Diceros bicornis minor: one gene and its partner. The protein of the gene in region 2 binds, or shares a complex with, the protein of the main gene of each other region. Links are inferred from orthologs where the notes say so. Each region holds a gene or a part of one and is shown on either strand. Other genes may lie near its edges.

Region 1 (7,767 bases), about 25 Mb from region 2:
GGGAGACCACATGCTCATGCAAACAGGGGAGTTAGAGGTTAGTGATGGCCCCCACAGCACACGTTCCACATGTTAAGGCATCATGGTTAGACGGTTACTGACGGCAATGGATGAACTGACTGGGAGAGATGGAAGCTGGGGGATGACTGGCCCCACAAGGCCCTGCGTTGTGCACCCACCCCCACCCCAGATGGGGTGGGTCAGAACAAGACTCAGGGCAACTGCCAAGGACCAGGGGAACCTGAGCACCCCACGAGAGCCCGCTGGATGTCCCACTCCCTTGGAAAAGTCAGGGCCTCAGGTCAGGTTAGCACAGGTTGGGGAACCTGGAGAAATACAGAAAAGGAGGCAGAGGCCTGGGCTGGAGCCTCCCTTCCCCACAGCACAGGCGGAAGCAGCAACAACACGAGACCACGAGACCACCCAGGAGGCTGGGGCCTGCTGGCTGGGGAGGGTTGGGAGGGAAAGGCTGGAGGAGCTCTGCCTGGGCCCGACCAGGAGGCAGACAAGGTGGGAATGATGGCAGCGTGGCCAAGGGCCCTGTCAGCACTTTGGTATGGGGTCAGGAAGGGGGTGTGGGGTGGTAGGGGTGGGGTGCGTACGTCCGTCCGTCTGTCCATCCTGCCTGCCTCCCGGACCCAGGACTCAGTCCTTCCACTCTTTTTTAATGGTGAGGTTCCACTCCCAGGACAGGTGATCAGTCTTGTCATCATCTGTGAAACGCGACTTGATGTTGTAGCTGCCTCGAGCCAGCATGCCCTTGGGCGCCTCCTCCATGGGAGTCAGGAACTCGTACTCCTCTGCCCGGGGCCCGTAGCTCCCCACCATGTAGTCAGTCTTGTCAACTGTAATGCAGAGAATGCACTGGTCATCAGTGTGGCTCACCTCTGCCCGGGCAGCTGCCAGGGAGCAGAGCTGGGCCGAGGGCACACACTGCCTTTCCTGTCTCCCTCCTGGTCCCTAAGCCCTTTGCCCTGAGCCAGCCAAGAGGCAGCCATCTCTCTCTTAGAGGCTGGGGTCTGGTGCCCACCCTCACTCACTCTTGACGCCTTTCCTGTATGTGTGCTGGATGTACTTCATGCCGGACACAATTTCTCGGTTCACCTGCAGGGAGGGACCCCAGGCAAGGCTCAGCCGGGCTCTCCAGCCCTGGCCCCTCCCGGCCCCTGCCACAGCCTCTGCCTTACCCGGAAAGAGATTTTTATCCGGTATTCCACACCTTCCTTCAGCACAAATGACTGCTTCTTGAAGCTCTCCAGATCACCTGTATTTGGGAGGAACACCACACTAGGGGGCTCAGCCAGCAGAAGCCACTCACTTCGGCATCTCCCATCTGTGACTGCCCGCTGCCATCTGGGCCCTGGCGGGATGCCCCTTCTACTCCCCGTCTCCCCTGCCCCTGCACACATAGCCCTTGGCACCCCCAACCTAGGACCCAGATCACTCCAAAACCAGCAACTTCAAAGACCGCTTGGCTGCACTTCTTGTTCTCCCCACGAGAGGGTGGCAGAGCTCCAGGAAACTATATTTAGAGAAAGCAGGGGTGGGGGTGCCAGGCAGCCCCAGCCAGAGACCTCAAAGGTGCCACTCACCTGTCAGGTCAAGCTCCAGGGGGCCCGGGGCGGTGCTACACACCAGGGTCAGGCGGGTCACGACTACATTGGGGACGTTGGGGTCTGTGGAGTGACAGCAGGTTAGTGCTCCACCCCCTGGGCCTCCCACACACCCATAACTTGCCACCAGGGGGCAGCAGCAGCAGAAACCCAGAAGAGTGACAAGGTATCCCTCTGTGTGACCCCAACCCACTCACCAGCAGACACAGCCACACGGCCCAGCAGGGCCTCCTTGTACTTGCGCAGACTCTCATCGTCCTTGTCCAGCTCCTGAATCTCCTGGATGCTCTTCTGGGCCGGGGGCTTGTAGTTGACCGAGTGCTCGTCTTCCTCGTTCTCAGCTGCAATCTGTGCCAGCTGCTCTGCTGTGGGCTCCTGCTCGGCCATGCTCACCTCTCGCTGGGTCTGGGACACCTGTGGGCCAGGCGGGCTGTGGCAGCCTGGAGGGACCCACAATGTCTCCCCCCTCCCGCCCCTCAGCGGGCCCTGCAGCCAGCTCAGGCGGGCTGTGTCGAAGGCTGCTCCACAGGTGGCCAGGCCCCGTATCTCGGCCCAAAGAGAGGTGCACCTTCTAGAGCAGGAGGGCAGCCTGCAGCCAGAACCCAGACATAGGCTCCTGAACCCAGCGGGGCTATACTTGCCTCCTCGCCCTGCCCATCTCAGGGGACCCACTGGGGCAGTCTGAGAGGACCCCAGCCTAGGTACAGTACCCAGGACTAAATGGAACCCGCAGCCTGCTCCTCTGGGAGACCAGGCACACCTCTGCCGCCCCCAAGGAGGAGGCAGGACCCCAGCCCTGCCGGCAGACCCCCAACTGTCACCTCTGAAGTCCTGCTGCTCTTTCTGAGCTGCTCAGGCCCTCGCCCCACGGGACTCCTCCCACTGGGTCAGGGAGACCCGGCTCCCTAGGACCAGGCATGCTCCTTCTGCCCTGTCCTAGCCAGGAAGCAAGGCCTCTGTGCAGGACACAGGTCAGTTCTGCCTCATCCTGCAAACACAGGGCTCTCCTACAGCTCAGATGATGAGGCCAGCCTGACTCCCACATGTAGGTCCCAAAAGGGCACAGGGGATCCTAAGAGTCTGCCAACGTTCTCTCCAATCGTGAGAGTCTGTGACCTACAATTTGGGAACTGCTGCAGCAGCTCCAGTATTTTCAAGACCCTTTTTCTGGATCCTGGCCCAGGCGAGTCTGGAGCAGCACTCTCAGAGCGGGGAGCACTGCATGAGGCAGCCGCTGGGCTTCCTTCAGCTAAAAATCCCATTGCAAGCCCAGAGACTTCCTGAGGAGTGTCTGGAACCCACTCAGATAGGTCCGGGTGGTGTAGGAGATGGGTCAAGGCCCAGCCCACCCCAGGCCTCAGATTGCCCAGGAAAGATTACCAAAGCCTTTCCCCACAGGCCCAGGCTGGCAGCTGGGACTCGCCCGAGGACCAGATCTCACAAAGGGCCGCAGGGATCCCCGAGCCGCCGGCCGCCCCAGGCGGGGTGGGGCCTGCCCGCTTTCCCAGGCCTCCCTGCCGCTTCCTCTGGAATTCCTCTACAAGGCTCACGCCCTAATGTCACTAAGTGCGGCCGCAGGCGACAGGATCCTCTAGGGCGATCGCCGCGGCCGCACTTCCGCAGGGCCCCGCAATCTGGGCCGGGCGCGGCGCGGGGTGGGGCGCGGTGCCCCGGAGAAGGGGACGTCAGCCTAGCTCCGGTCGGCGCACGCCGGCGGGGAGGGGCCGCGGGGTACGGGCGGCGGCCACAAAGGAGGCCTAAGCCCCCGGTCCGCGCCCCTGGCCCGCGCCGCACGTGGGCCCGCCCTGCGGCCCGGCCTCCGCCGGCTGTCACCGCCGCCCCAGCCCCGCGCAGACCCCACGGCAGGCGGAGCGAACAAAGGCGCGGCCCCCGCGCCTCCCTGCCGCTGCCGCTGCCGCCGCCCCGCCTGCCGCCGCCGTCCCGCCGTGGCGCTCACCGGAGGTTCGACTGCGCAGCTCTCGCGCTCCCTCCCGCACGGAACGACGAACGTCGCCGCCCCGCCCGCGCGCTCCCGGCCGGCCACTTCCGGGGTCACGCGACTTCCGCTCGCGCCACACGCCAGGGCGCATGCGCGGGCGCGCGGGTCTGCCGGGAGCGTGCCGGTGCCATCTTGCCGGGCTGGTGTGGTGGGTGCGTCCCGTGTGGGCGGCGGGCGGGCTCGGGACGCCTAGGAAGTCCGGTCCCAGTTGGTAGTTTTGCGCCTTTTGCTGCAAGCATTTTCCGGTCCCGGCCGTCCCCACGGGTCAGCCCGCAAAGTAGAGGGACGGGCGGTGTCACGGTCTTGCTCACGCCCCACGTACGTCGTGGCATTTCCGCGAGGTGCTGTAAGGCACGTCTGTAAAGCTCTGGAACATCTCCGCGTGCACGGCAGGGTCCACCCGAGGCCAGCCGACGGCCGCCCTCCCACCTGAGCCGGCCTCTCGCGTCCTCTCGCCATCGTGACCCTCTCGGAAGTTAACGCTGGACCTTCTTCGATCAGCTCACGTTAACCACTCAAAGAACGCTCCGTGGGTGGTGTTAAAAAACAATTCCAACCGAGAAAATTTGAAGATCTAATTGGCTTTATTCAAGGATTTATGGATCAGGCAGCATCCCATTTAATAAACAGGCCTTCCGAAGGGTTGTACAAAAGAAGATTTTTATAGGAAGAAACTAGGTGGGACAAGAAAGTAATTAGCAAAAGGAAAGAAAAGATGCTTTCAGGCAAGATCACCTTTCTTTGGGGGAAGGGCGGCAGGGGTCTTAGCAGGCAGATGACCTCACTATTGTTGATCAGGAATTTCCCGACTGGTAAGGTTACATTCCTGGGAGGGGGTGAAACTGCAATTAAGTCTTGGTTTCCGGTCCTGGGGGCAAGTGACTCCACCTTGGGCCTGTAGTTTTTTTATTTTTTACCGGTGTCCAGGTCACCCCTGGCCTGAGCCTGGGCTCTGGGGCCTCTCTTGGTATCTTTGTAACCTGTCCAAGGCTATGCTGGTGGCCCTCTGCCCCACTGTCCCCTCCTGAAGAACACGGCTGGATGGCCAGAAGCATACACAGGCTCAGAGCTGCCCCAGGCCTGCAGCCCTCAGGCTTTTTTTTTCCAGACTAAATCAACATTCTTGGGGGCTCAGCACATTTGGTTTCCTTGCCATGAGCATCACTTCAGGGAAAAAACATGTCACTGCGGAATTCCTTGACTCTTGTGACTTTGGAAGCTCTTGGCACAGATGACATGATTTTCTCAGTCTGCTATTCATCACAGACCCAAGAATTCTCCGTTTGTGTGCTCCAATTGTTGGCAGACTTCAGACATTTGCCCACATGCTAAATCAAGGAACATTTTGTAGCACCAGGAGGGGCCTCATAAAATGGGGCTGGTCTGGCCCGGGGCTGGTCTGCCTGAAGGCCGGAGTGCCCAAACCCCAGCCCAGCACTCCTCTTTCTTCTTGTGGGGTCCAAGCCCCTAACGGCTCCACACCTCCAGCCTGTAGCATTTGTAGAATTGTAATAAGGTGGTAATGAGTTCATGCCACCTATAATGACTGTTAAGCTCCACAAAGGCAGGGAACCCAGGCCAAGACAGAAGTTGTCACAAACACACATATACACACAACTGCATTGTACGTAGGAGGGCATTTTCAGAAATTGAACTTAATGCAAAATACTGACTTTGGTATCTTCTGGAAATTTCTCAATTTTTGAGGAATATTTGCTTATTTTCTGTAACTAGGAGTTGCACTGTCAGCTTTATGTGTACAAAGTTTAGTTGGCGGAAAGCAGAGCATTCTAATTGGGTATTCACTATGTTGCTTCTGAGGCTTCTTGTCATTGTAAACTTGGAATACCACAGCGGACTGTCCCCCTGCACTGCTGTCTGAGTCGCTGGTTGAGGAAAAGTTGGCTTTCGGATAACCCAAGTGCTTTTAAAAAAACCAAACTCTATTATAGAAAATTTCAAACATACATGTTATTAGTAATCTATTACTGTGTAAAAATGTACCCTGAAATTCAGCAGCTTAAAACAACAACCGTTTATTATTTTGCATGGTTTCTGAGGATCAGGGAGCAGCTTAGCGGGTTGGTTCTGGCTCCAGGTCTCTCATGAGGTTGTGGTCCCTGAAGATGTGCTGGAACTCCAAGCTAATGCAGGCACTGTGGGCAGGAGGCTCAGTTCCTTGTGGGCTGTTGGCTGGAGGATTTAGTTCTCTGCCACCTACGGCTCTGGCCACTCCGTAGGGCTGCTCACAACAGGGCAGCTGGCTTTCCCCATGTGAGGCCTCAGAGACAGACAAACAGACAGACAGACAGAGACAGAAAGAACAAGAGCCAGGGAAACAGCAAGCACTGAAGATGAAGCCAAGGTGTCTTACAATCTAACCTTAGCAGTGCCCTAGCTCCGCCCTACTAGATTGGTCACACAAACCTCTCCTGGCACCGGGTGAGAGGGGACACAGGGGCCTGAGGACCAGGAGGCAGCGGCACCGTTGGGGTTGTCTTGAAGGCGGCCCACCACATGCACCAAAATACTGTAGAAAGAATGGTATTATGAACCCAAGTGGACAGACCATCCAGCCTCAACGGGTATCAGCTCGTGACTGATCTTGTTTCATCTGTGCCTCACCTCCCCCCACGCAGCAAGTTTGAAGCAACCCCCAGAAGTCATTTCCACCATAAATATTTCAGTATGTATTTATTTCTAAGGAAAAGGATCCTTTTTTAGGGTGAACAATAGCCATAGCACCATTATCCCGCTGGGTCCTTGTCTCTACTGCTATATAACAAACCACTCCAAATGCGGTGGCTTGGAGCAGCGAGTCACGATTCTCTCTCCTATTCTGGGGGCTGCGTGAACTCAGCTGGGGCTCTCATGCAGTGTCGGTCAGATTGAGTCGTGCTGCAGCCAAATGAAGGTGGCCGGCCAAGAGGGCCCTGTCATACAGCACTCCCCTGGGGCTGTCAACTTGAGGACCTCCAGCACAACGCCCATGGGATCTTGGCAGCTGGACTCCAAGAGCAAGTTCTGAGAGGCTTGTTCACCGGGCTTCATGTGAGCCCACTCAGAAGTGCCAGAACCAAACTTGTGTGGCTCTCTGCTGGCCAAGCCCATGAGTTGGGCCAGCCCAAGTTCAAAGTCAGAGAGTTAGACTCCACCTTTCAGTGGGAAGAGAAGGAAAGACTGTGTGGCCATCTTTATTCTAGCCACAAGGACCCACGTTCCTCTCCTGTAAAACACAACACTTCCCAGGATCCCCCAAAGTCTCATCCCGTTGTGGCTTCAGCTCAGGACCCAGGTGAGGGCGAGGTTGGGGGTCTGGCTTCTCTTAACCTGAAAATTGAGGCTAAAGACCCAGAAGACCTGCCCAACAGTGCCCGACAGACCATCCTGTCTCACCCCCTGACCTACAGAATCCGTGAACGTAACAAAATGGTGCTTGTTTTACACCAAGTTTGGGAGGTAATTCTTATAGAGCAGAAAGTACCTGGGATACTAACCAAGAAAAGTAACACAAGTCCTAAATATCAGTAAAGATCCAACCAGTATTTTCCTGATTTTATTGTGAGTTCTTTTACTTTTTGTTTGAATCAGAATCAAATTGTTTCACACATTGCAGTTAGTTGGTATGTGTCTTAATCAATAGGATTGTCCTCTCTTTGCTCCATGTAGTGTCCTGTTGAAGGACCGGGGTCACTTGTCCTGTAGAGTCTCCCACGGCAGGAACTCGATTGGCAATGCCGCACCCCAGCACCCCAGCTTTGACACTGAGACGGGGTACCTGAGGGCTACTGTAAATACTCCATAAGAACATGGTTACCCTCTGACCTTGTTCCCAACACAGACACAGAAGAAAAGAAGTGAATAAATAACCTCAATCTCTGTTAGATGTATTTGTTGAGCTCAAATGCTTGCTTCACAGCCCAGGCATCATTGTATCTTGTTAATTTGCTGTTTTCTTTCTTTCTTTTTTTAAAAAATATTTATTTGTTTATTTATTTAGTGTGTGTGTGTGAGGCAGATCAGCCATGAGCTAACATCTGTTGCCAATCCTCCTCTTTTTGCTGAGGAAGACTGGCCCTGAGCTAACATCTGTGCCCATGGTCCTCCACTTTATATGGGATGCCACCACAGCATGGCCTGACAAGCCGTGTGTCG
Region 2 (8,080 bases):
CAGATGGGGAAACTGAGGCCCATAGAGGTAGCTTTGCTAAGTGACCTGATGCATGGCCCCTGCCACACCCCCTGTTGGGAGGAGGTGGGGCAATCTTGAGAAGCAGGGAGAGATGACTAGGATTTGGGGTATTTCCTCCAAAATGATCAATTTACCAAAATGATAGACACATTTGTCTGAAATTTACATATATTACACTTTTATTCATTTCCAATTTGATGGAATGACTTCATCCCATTTTCGAGAATGTTTGCAATCTTTTTTGCCATTTCAAGGCTTTCAAGAAATGAAGTTGGAAATACTCTTAGATGAATTGACTTTCACGAATCTTAAAAATTTTTAAAAATTGGACAAAATAGAAAACACACCAACATAGTTGAAAGACTTTGAAACTACATGAATGCTTCAGTGATAAATCTTAACCATTCACAACAGCTTCAGCAAAGGGTTCCTTAGGTGAATGGAGCCATTAGTCGCTGCTGTGGGGTTGGAGAGTTTTCAAATACATGGAGGGTCTTCTGAGGTGGATGCAAAACCAGGGGCAGCACTGGCACCTGGCCCCCACCCCTGTAGATAGGAGTTGAGTTTGGGGTGGGAGACAAGAGCTAACTTCTGAGGATGATGTTACCTGAAGACTTTGTAGGGGGCAGGGGCTCTGAGTGGGGAGAAGGGGCTCAGTTCCAAGTTCTTGGTGCCAAGGGCATAGGACACAGATCTAATCTCCAGGGTTAGTGGTCGTTCAGGGCCACATGTTCCTCGTGAAATGATGGCTGGGGTGGGGTGGGGAGGAGCCTGGCATAAGGAGGAAAAGAATAAGCTCCGAGCCAAGCATCCTGGATTCCAACAAGGGCGCCACCACTTACTAACTGGGGGAGCCTGGCTTCGTGCCTGAAAGTCTAGGAGCTTCAGCTCCCTCAAATGTAAAATGGGAATAACTAGGTACTCTGCTGGGACCTTATAAGCATTAGATAACGCAAGATAAATTACCCAGGTCAGTGCGTCGCACACAGCAGGACCTCAACAAATTTTATTATTCCCGCCTCCCCAGCCCGCACCCCTAGGGAAGAATCTAGGCGCTTGAGCGGGACCTGGCTGGTACAGCGGGGTAGGGACCCCTTCCCTCCTGGAGCCTCCTCCTCTCATTTGCTGCCCTCGCTGTGTCCCTATTAGGCGCATTAGCCAGCCCGGCGGCTCCGGTTACAGACGTCTGAATGACAAAGTGCCTCCATTACCGGCGCGGCCCGCCAGCCGACCCGCCGGGACGCGCTCTGGTTTCAGCACTCTCTCGCCCCGGCCCAGGAAGAAACGCGGACCGCCGCGGTGCGCAAAGCCAGCCCATAGACAGCAGCCCCGCGGCGAGGCGGAGGCGAGAGCCGCAGGCGCTGCGGGCGGCAGGTTCTGCACCGGGTCCATCTTCCCGAGCCCCCAGGCCCTCCACGCCCAGCTCCCCTCCTTCCACGCCTCTTCTCTACTCGGACGACACTCTCTCCAGCCCCGGTCCGGAGCCCACGCCCTCGCCCCTCGCGGATCCGCACTGCTGGCCGCTCCAGTCCCCCTCCCCCGCCCCTCCCCGGCCGAGAAGCATCTCCAACCCATGGCGTTAGTCAGCAAACGTGCCCGCAGTCACTCGCAAATCCCCGGACGAAGCCACAGGTACCGACAGCTCCAGGGAACCGGGACTGAGCTTCGGGGATGGGGCCACCCCAGCCCCCATATTCCACCGCCCGCCTGACTCAGCGGATGGTGTCCAGCACCACCACCCCCCCCACGCCGAGAAACGCAGCTCTTATCCGGAGCTGGGACGCCAGGCTGCCCCTAAGAGGTACGGGGAGTACCAAGCTGGGACTCAGGTGCGGGGCAGTCTAGCTAGGACTCTGGCTCAACTTGCTTGTAGGATCTTGGCCAAGTCGTTTAAAGTCTCAGATCCTCAGTCTCCTTATCTGTAAAAACGGGGATTTGGGAGCGCAATGCTCAGATGAGAGAAGAAGATGGCAAGGAGGGTGAGGACACTTCCTCCATTGCCAAACCTTCCAGGGCACTTGGTTCATGGCCACACACCAGGTCACATATCCTGGAAATCTGGTCAGAACTACCAGGCGGACTTAGATGCTTACGAGGACCCGCGGTCCTTTGCCGAGACAGAATCCGAGGCGTCCGAGCGCCTCCGTCTGGTTCGGTGCCCAGCATCTTCCACCGAGAGTTGGGCAGGGCGCGGGGAGAATCCCGACCGCTGGAGCGGAGCGAACCTTGGGGACAGCGCTCGGGCCGTTTAACTTAATGCGGGATCCTCGCGGGGGGCGGCGCGCGGCCCCAGTCGCGCCGGCAGCAGCGGATGGCACAGCCCTCGCGCCGCAGCGCCCCCTGCGGGCCGCCTCCGCCTGCGCGACCCGGGGCTGCGAGCTGCCGGGACGTTCCCAGCCTTGCGCGTCCCGGCGCTCTGCACTCCGCAATGTGGCGGCGGCCAGACCGGGTCGGATGACGCCCGCTCCATCCCTTCCGGTCCGCGGCCCTGCTTCAGACTGCGAGAATAAGCGCGTCGGAGGAGCCCGCCGGTCGTGGGGGAACCGAGGGAGCGGGTTCGCCCCGACGAAGCGGGCGCTCTCTTCCCAACCTCGGATCCCCAGCCGCAATTTCCCGACTGGGCGAGGTTGCGAGAAAGAGCGCGCGACAGACGCGGGAAACATCCGTGCCTCTACTCTCTCTTCTCGTCCCACTGTCCCTTGGTGGGCAGGCGAGTCCCCGACCACTTTAGAGTCCTCTCTCCCTTCTCCGTCTTCTTTCCTTTTGCTTCCATCTCTCTACCTCCCTTGCCGTCGGCCCTTTTCTACCCTCCTTAATCAATTTCTACCGTCTCTTCAACTGACCCTCGCTCCTCGAACCTTTCCCTCCCACGCCCCTCCCCCCCATTGTCTGGCCGGTCCGCATTGTCCGATGCCCGGTCCCCTCTGCCTCCAGTCCCTCCAACCTCCTCTCTCATTGTTGCATCCCCTCGTCTCTGGTTCCCCGCCCCAGCCCCGCTCGCCCCTCACATCTCTAGTCCCCGTCCCATTCCTCCTCCTTTTCTAGCCTGGGTTCCTTCCCTTGACCCTTCAGAGATCAAGATGCTCAGGGAGAAAGTCGCCTCGAGATCCCGGCATTCAAGCGCCCTCTTCCGAAGAACTCAGACATCCGAGAGCCCCAGGACCCCCTCCTAAGAGACTCCTCCCAGCTCCTCCACACACACCGCGGTACCGGAGGACCTGCATCCGTGCGCCCCTCTTGCTCGCATCTCTACCCTGGATCTCAGGGTCGCCTCTGCGCTCTGAGAACCCTAGACGCTCCTCCGTGGATCCTAACGGGAGCTCCTCTCCCGCCATCCATCCCCAGCATCTGGGACCTCAACGCTCTGTTTTGTTTTCCCTCGGGGAAACCTGAACCATCGGGGTCCCGGTTCCAGGAAAGGGAGCGGGCTCCCTTTCGGCTAGTACTCACCCCCAAGAGCAGAAGCAGCAGCCGCAGGCGCGGCCCGTCCATGGCGCAGCCGGCGGCACCTGCCCCCATCGCCTGCTTCCCGCGGCAGCGCTCGGCTTCCAGTTCAGTCCGCTCCGCGGACGGATAGGGCTGCGCGGCGCTGCACTCCAGCACCCGCCCCCCGGAGCTGGCCGAGGCTCCGCTCACTCTGGCTGCGGGCGGGAGGGGCTGAGAGAAGCCAGTGCGGCGGCCCCGCCTCCTCCCCATCCAGCCGGCCCACCCCCGGAACCGCGCCCGCCCGCCACGCCGCCTCAGGGAGGGGAGAGGAGGCGAAGGGAGGGCATGCGGGGAGCCGCGCCCGCGCGCCCCGCTGCCGCTTCTCCACGCCCTGGCCTTCAGAGCCGCTCCCCAACCCTGGCCCGGTACCCAGTGCCCGGCCCGCGCTACTGCGCGTCCGTCCCGGATGCTGCGGCTTGGGGACCAGGGCGTCCCCACTGCGGCTCCCCGCAGGGTTCACTCTCTTACCCGTCTTCCTCTGCCTCTGGCTTCAGCTTCTTCCCCGGTCTCCTGCTCTCTACCCAGCCTTTATCGTCAAGAATGCCCACTGCCCGCCCTGCCCTTCATCTTCTGGTCCATACCCGACCCCTACCCCTGCCCCTTCCCAGGGTGAGGGGGTTCTCCGTGCAAAGGCCTAGCGGGAGGGGAACGGTAGCAGGTGGCTTGACCTCGACCATGTGCAGCCGGGACATTCAAGGTGGCGTCCATCCCGACATCATTTGAATTCTCAAAAGATGGGTTTGAAGGGGTCACAGGTGTGCACACAAAACACAAGAATACACGCTCTCTCAAGCTCACATATATATGTCCTTACGCACCACATATGCCCACACCATCCTCAGGCGCTCGTGTGGATCTGCACGTTCTACACGTGCGTGTGCACCTCCACACTCAGGCACACATGCACACTCATTGCACGTGGTCATAACATTCAAACGCACACTCACCTACATATCCACATATGTACATGTGCAGTCACTTCCACACAAGCTCTCACATGTATAGTCTTTCACACAAGTGCACACACATTCGTGAACACACGCACATTTACACCCATACACAAACACAAAGGTGTATCCTCAACAATATAGCCTTCACCAGACTGTGGGTGTTTCCATTGGCTTATGATTCCATTGGTGTTCAGTGAAGGTCTGTAGAAGGGAATAAATGGAAAAGTGGTTGGATGGACTCACATCCATGTACTATGTAGGCGTCCCCAGGACCACACTTACCGCGCCCTAGAAACCTTGGCAGGTCTGATCATAGGCCCCTGCAACCCAGGGAGTGTGCCACCAGTCTTTTGGTGTGAACCACCACCTCTGCCACCAGGATGCTCACCGCCTGCCTGTCCTCAGCCATTCCTGGTTCCCGGATGTGAAGGCCCTGGAGCACAGAGCAGTGGGGAGCAAGTCTACAAAGCCCATCCTCGCCCCCTGATCTTGGCTATGTGTGGACCTCAGTTTCTACTTTGAAAAAAATAGTAGTACCCTCCCACATTTCAGGAAGAAGGGGGAGATCAAGTGTACAGGTGAAGAGGGCATGCTGGCTTTGGTAGGTGACTTCCTAGATCAGCTGAAGCTAACTCATTCATTCACGAACGAAAAAATCTACCCTGTGAATTTCTTTCTTGTGTAACCAACAAAGTCCAGGGGACAGCCCCAGAAAGGACACGTAGACATTACTGTGGCCTTGAACATGAATGTGGATGAGCCGATACTCCATGGCTGGGCATGAGGCCAGGCAGCTAGCCCCTCCTCAGAAGTCCCTGAGGATTCCTTCCTCCTGGACAGGGACCTCTAACCCTCTAAGCTGTCTCCTCCTCCCGCTGCTTTTATGGCCCTGCCTTTCCTCTCAGCTGAATTCATGGAAGGCAGGAAGGGGCGGCAGTACTAACAGCAGCATCGAGCTGCTTACTACCAAGGGTATCAACAGTGTGGCATTAATTTAAATACTTCTGTTATTAATTTATGATCCTGGTTACTATTATTGCCAAGGTTATCCATCTCAACACGATTTACTATGACCCACACTACCATGGCTGGGCCCGTGTTATTAATAATTTCCATGGTCCTGATCTTTTTTTTTTTTTTTTTTTTTTTTTTTGTGAGGAGATCAGCCCTGAGCTAACATCCGCCAATCCTCCTCTTTTTTTGCTGAGGAAGACGGCCCTGGGCTAACATCGGTGCCCATCTTCCTCCACTTTATATGGGACGCCGCCACAGCATGGCTTACCAAGCAGTACTTCGGTGCGCGCCCGGGATCCGAACCAGCGAACCCCGGGCCGCCGCAGCGGAGCGCGCGCACTTAACCGCTTGCGCCACCGGGCCGGCCCCATGGTCCTGATCTTTTAAGCCTTACTCGAACAATTACAAACAGCAATTGTTACTATTATTAGCAGTATTTCTATGATTAAGCCCCAGCACAAGACCACGATGTAATGCTGAGTGCTGGTGGGAGAGAGGCTGCGAAGTGCAGAGAGGAAAGAGCACTGAACTGAGAGTCAGACAGGCCTGGCCATAAACGCCTACACCCCCCACCCCGCCCCACATCTCTTACTCCTGTGTAGTCTTAGGCAGGTTATGTGATCTCTCTCAGCCTCCATTTCCTCTTCTATAAAATGGGAATTCAAAAAAAGATCCTAGGGGCCAGCCCCATGGTGTAGTGGTTAAGTGCCATGCTCCAGTGCTGGCGGCCCGGGTTCAGATCCTGGGCGCGCACCGATGCACTGCTTGTCAGGCCATGCTGTGGCGGCGTCCCATATAAAGTGGAGGAAGATGGGCACAGATGTTAGCCTGGGGCCAGTCTTCCTGAGCAAAAAGAGGAGGATTGGCATGGATGTTAGCTCAGGGCTGATCTTCCTCACACACACACACAAAAAAGATCCTAAATAGAATGAGCGTGGTGAAGAACAAAAGAGACAATGGTGTTCAGCACAAGGAGAGACTCAATCCACTTTTACTTGTTCAACACCTACTTCTTGAGCAGCTACTATGTGCCACACACTGTTCCAGGTGCTGGGGATACAGCAGCGAACAGTAGCAGCTGCCCTCGTGGAGCTGATGTCCTAGTGTGTTAGTTATTTGATGTGAAGGGCTATTTTATAATGTGACATATATACCAAAACCAGCACCACTGTGACCCCCATCGCCATGACGCCAGCATCACTGCCAGAACCCCCACAGCTACCAATCCCACAGTCATCCCCATCACTACTGTGACTCCCACAGCATCATCCCCACCATCCCCATCATCCTACGACCGCCACGGCCGTGGCCACCACCACCACCTGCCTTCCAACATCTGCACCAGCAGCAGCAGCAGGGATTCCTGTTCCTAAGGGATGCTGGATACTTGGGTCCATCCCTTGTCCTTGGAACGATATCAGAGGCCATATGGAGCCACTGCTGCCTGAGCCTACCTCCCTAATGGTCATGGCCCCAAATTGAGTGTCCTTCAAAAATTTCTCCCTGACCCAGCCCCTCTCCCCTAATCCTCAGCACCTGCAGCCACAGCTGTGGGATAGGGCATGGGGAAGCGGCCCTTAGGAGCTGACCAGCAAGTGGGACCAGACAGGCAGCGCCCAGGGGCAGAAGTTTTCATTGAAGGGTCCCCCAGAACCATCTCCCATAACAGAGCTATACAGATAGAGGGTCCCTCCTTCCACCACTCACACACCAAGGCTTCCTGGACCTAATAGTGACCCCAAGGTAAAGGGTGGAGAATAGCAACGCAGTTCTACATGGGGCTGGGAAGGTCATGGTGGGTCAAACTGCACCTTCAGGAGTAGAAATGGGAGGGGTTTGCTCCTCTCCTATTCATCCCACCACAGCTCCGTCACCCTGCCCCTCCAGGAAGGCAAGCTCCTAACACACACTCCCTGTCCTCCTGCTCCACTGGGACCCTTCACCTCTGCAGAACATTGCTCACAGCTCCCGGTACCCGTCCCCAGCAGTCACTGGGGAACCAGCCTGCAGCCCCAACGCACTTCCGAGCAGAAATGAGAGAGGAGAACTCAGGTTTATTGAGATCCACACAATTCTCTTCCTTAATCCCCACTGCAAAACCATGAAGGAGGCACTGAGATCACCATTCTACAGATGAAGAGACTGAGGCTTGAAGAGGTTAAGTCACTTGTCCAAGGACCCCCGGAAGGCAGCCATGGTACCGTAAGTGGCCACTGTCCCGCACAAGGCCGTCCACAGCCACGCTTCTCCATGCTAACCCCCATGTTACAGTCACTCCTCCCCTCCATCCCAGCCCATCCAGCCTTCACCCCAAGGAGTTGGGGAGATAGAACCTGCAGGTCAGAGGGACTGCACTGTGCCCTTCAATGCTACCACTCAGATGCCCCCTCCCGACACGCATTCACAGAATCCGGGCTTGGGGCTGGGGTAGGATGGGTGGAGGCAAGCAGGGCATCACCTCTGCCTTCTGATCCAAAGCGTGATTTCGAAGTTCCCTTAGCGAGCACTCATTTCTCCTGCTTTGGGAGAATCACCTCCCCTGTCCTCCAGTTCTAATGTCCAACCAGAGAAGGGGTGAAGGGAGATGAGCGGGAGACAACAACATCTGA

The links.
Region 1: the proteins of NGFR (region 2) and ARHGDIA are in contact, whole or in part, in an NMR structure (PDB 8X8T), measured with the Homo sapiens proteins. The link is inferred for Diceros bicornis minor from reciprocal best matches to the Homo sapiens genes NGFR and ARHGDIA. Residues at the interface, in NP_002498.1 of Homo sapiens: Arg274, Trp275, Ser277, Cys278, Lys279, Gln280, Lys282, Gln283, Gly284, Ala285, Ser287, Arg288, Pro289, Val290, Asn291, Gln292, Thr293, Pro294, Pro295, Pro296, Glu299, Lys300, Leu301, Ile307, Ser308, Val309, Gln312, Ser313, Asp316, Gln317; in NP_001172006.1 of Homo sapiens: Ala8, Glu9, Leu11, Ala12, Gln13, Ile14, Ala15, Ala16, Glu17, Asn18, Glu19, Glu20, Asp21, Glu22, Val25, Pro30, Ala31, Gln32, Lys33, Ile35, Gln36, Glu37, Ile38, Gln39, Glu40, Leu41, Asp42, Lys43, Asp44, Asp45.

The regions. Positions count from the first base shown.
Region 1 is NC_080757.1:61,196,948-61,204,714, forward strand, and holds the start of ARHGDIA (rho GDP-dissociation inhibitor 1), read right to left. Parts: upstream 3,670-7,767; 5' UTR 3,571-3,669; intron 3,231-3,570; exon of another isoform or gene 2,994-3,230; intron 2,028-2,993; 5' UTR 2,001-2,027; coding exon 1,811-2,000; intron 1,677-1,810; coding exon 1,593-1,676; intron 1,265-1,592; coding exon 1,188-1,264; intron 1,105-1,187; coding exon 1,041-1,104; intron 846-1,040; coding exon 646-845; 3' UTR 603-645; exon of another isoform or gene 327-602; 3' UTR 1-326. UniProt on the Homo sapiens protein: Controls Rho proteins homeostasis. Regulates the GDP/GTP exchange reaction of the Rho proteins by inhibiting the dissociation of GDP from them, and the subsequent binding of GTP to them.
Region 2 is NC_080757.1:36,665,633-36,673,712, forward strand, and holds the start of NGFR (tumor necrosis factor receptor superfamily member 16), read right to left. Parts: upstream 3,606-8,080; 5' UTR 3,541-3,605; coding exon 3,472-3,540; intron 1-3,471. UniProt on the Homo sapiens protein: Low affinity receptor which can bind to NGF, BDNF, NTF3, and NTF4. Forms a heterodimeric receptor with SORCS2 that binds the precursor forms of NGF, BDNF and NTF3 with high affinity, and has much lower affinity for mature NGF and BDNF.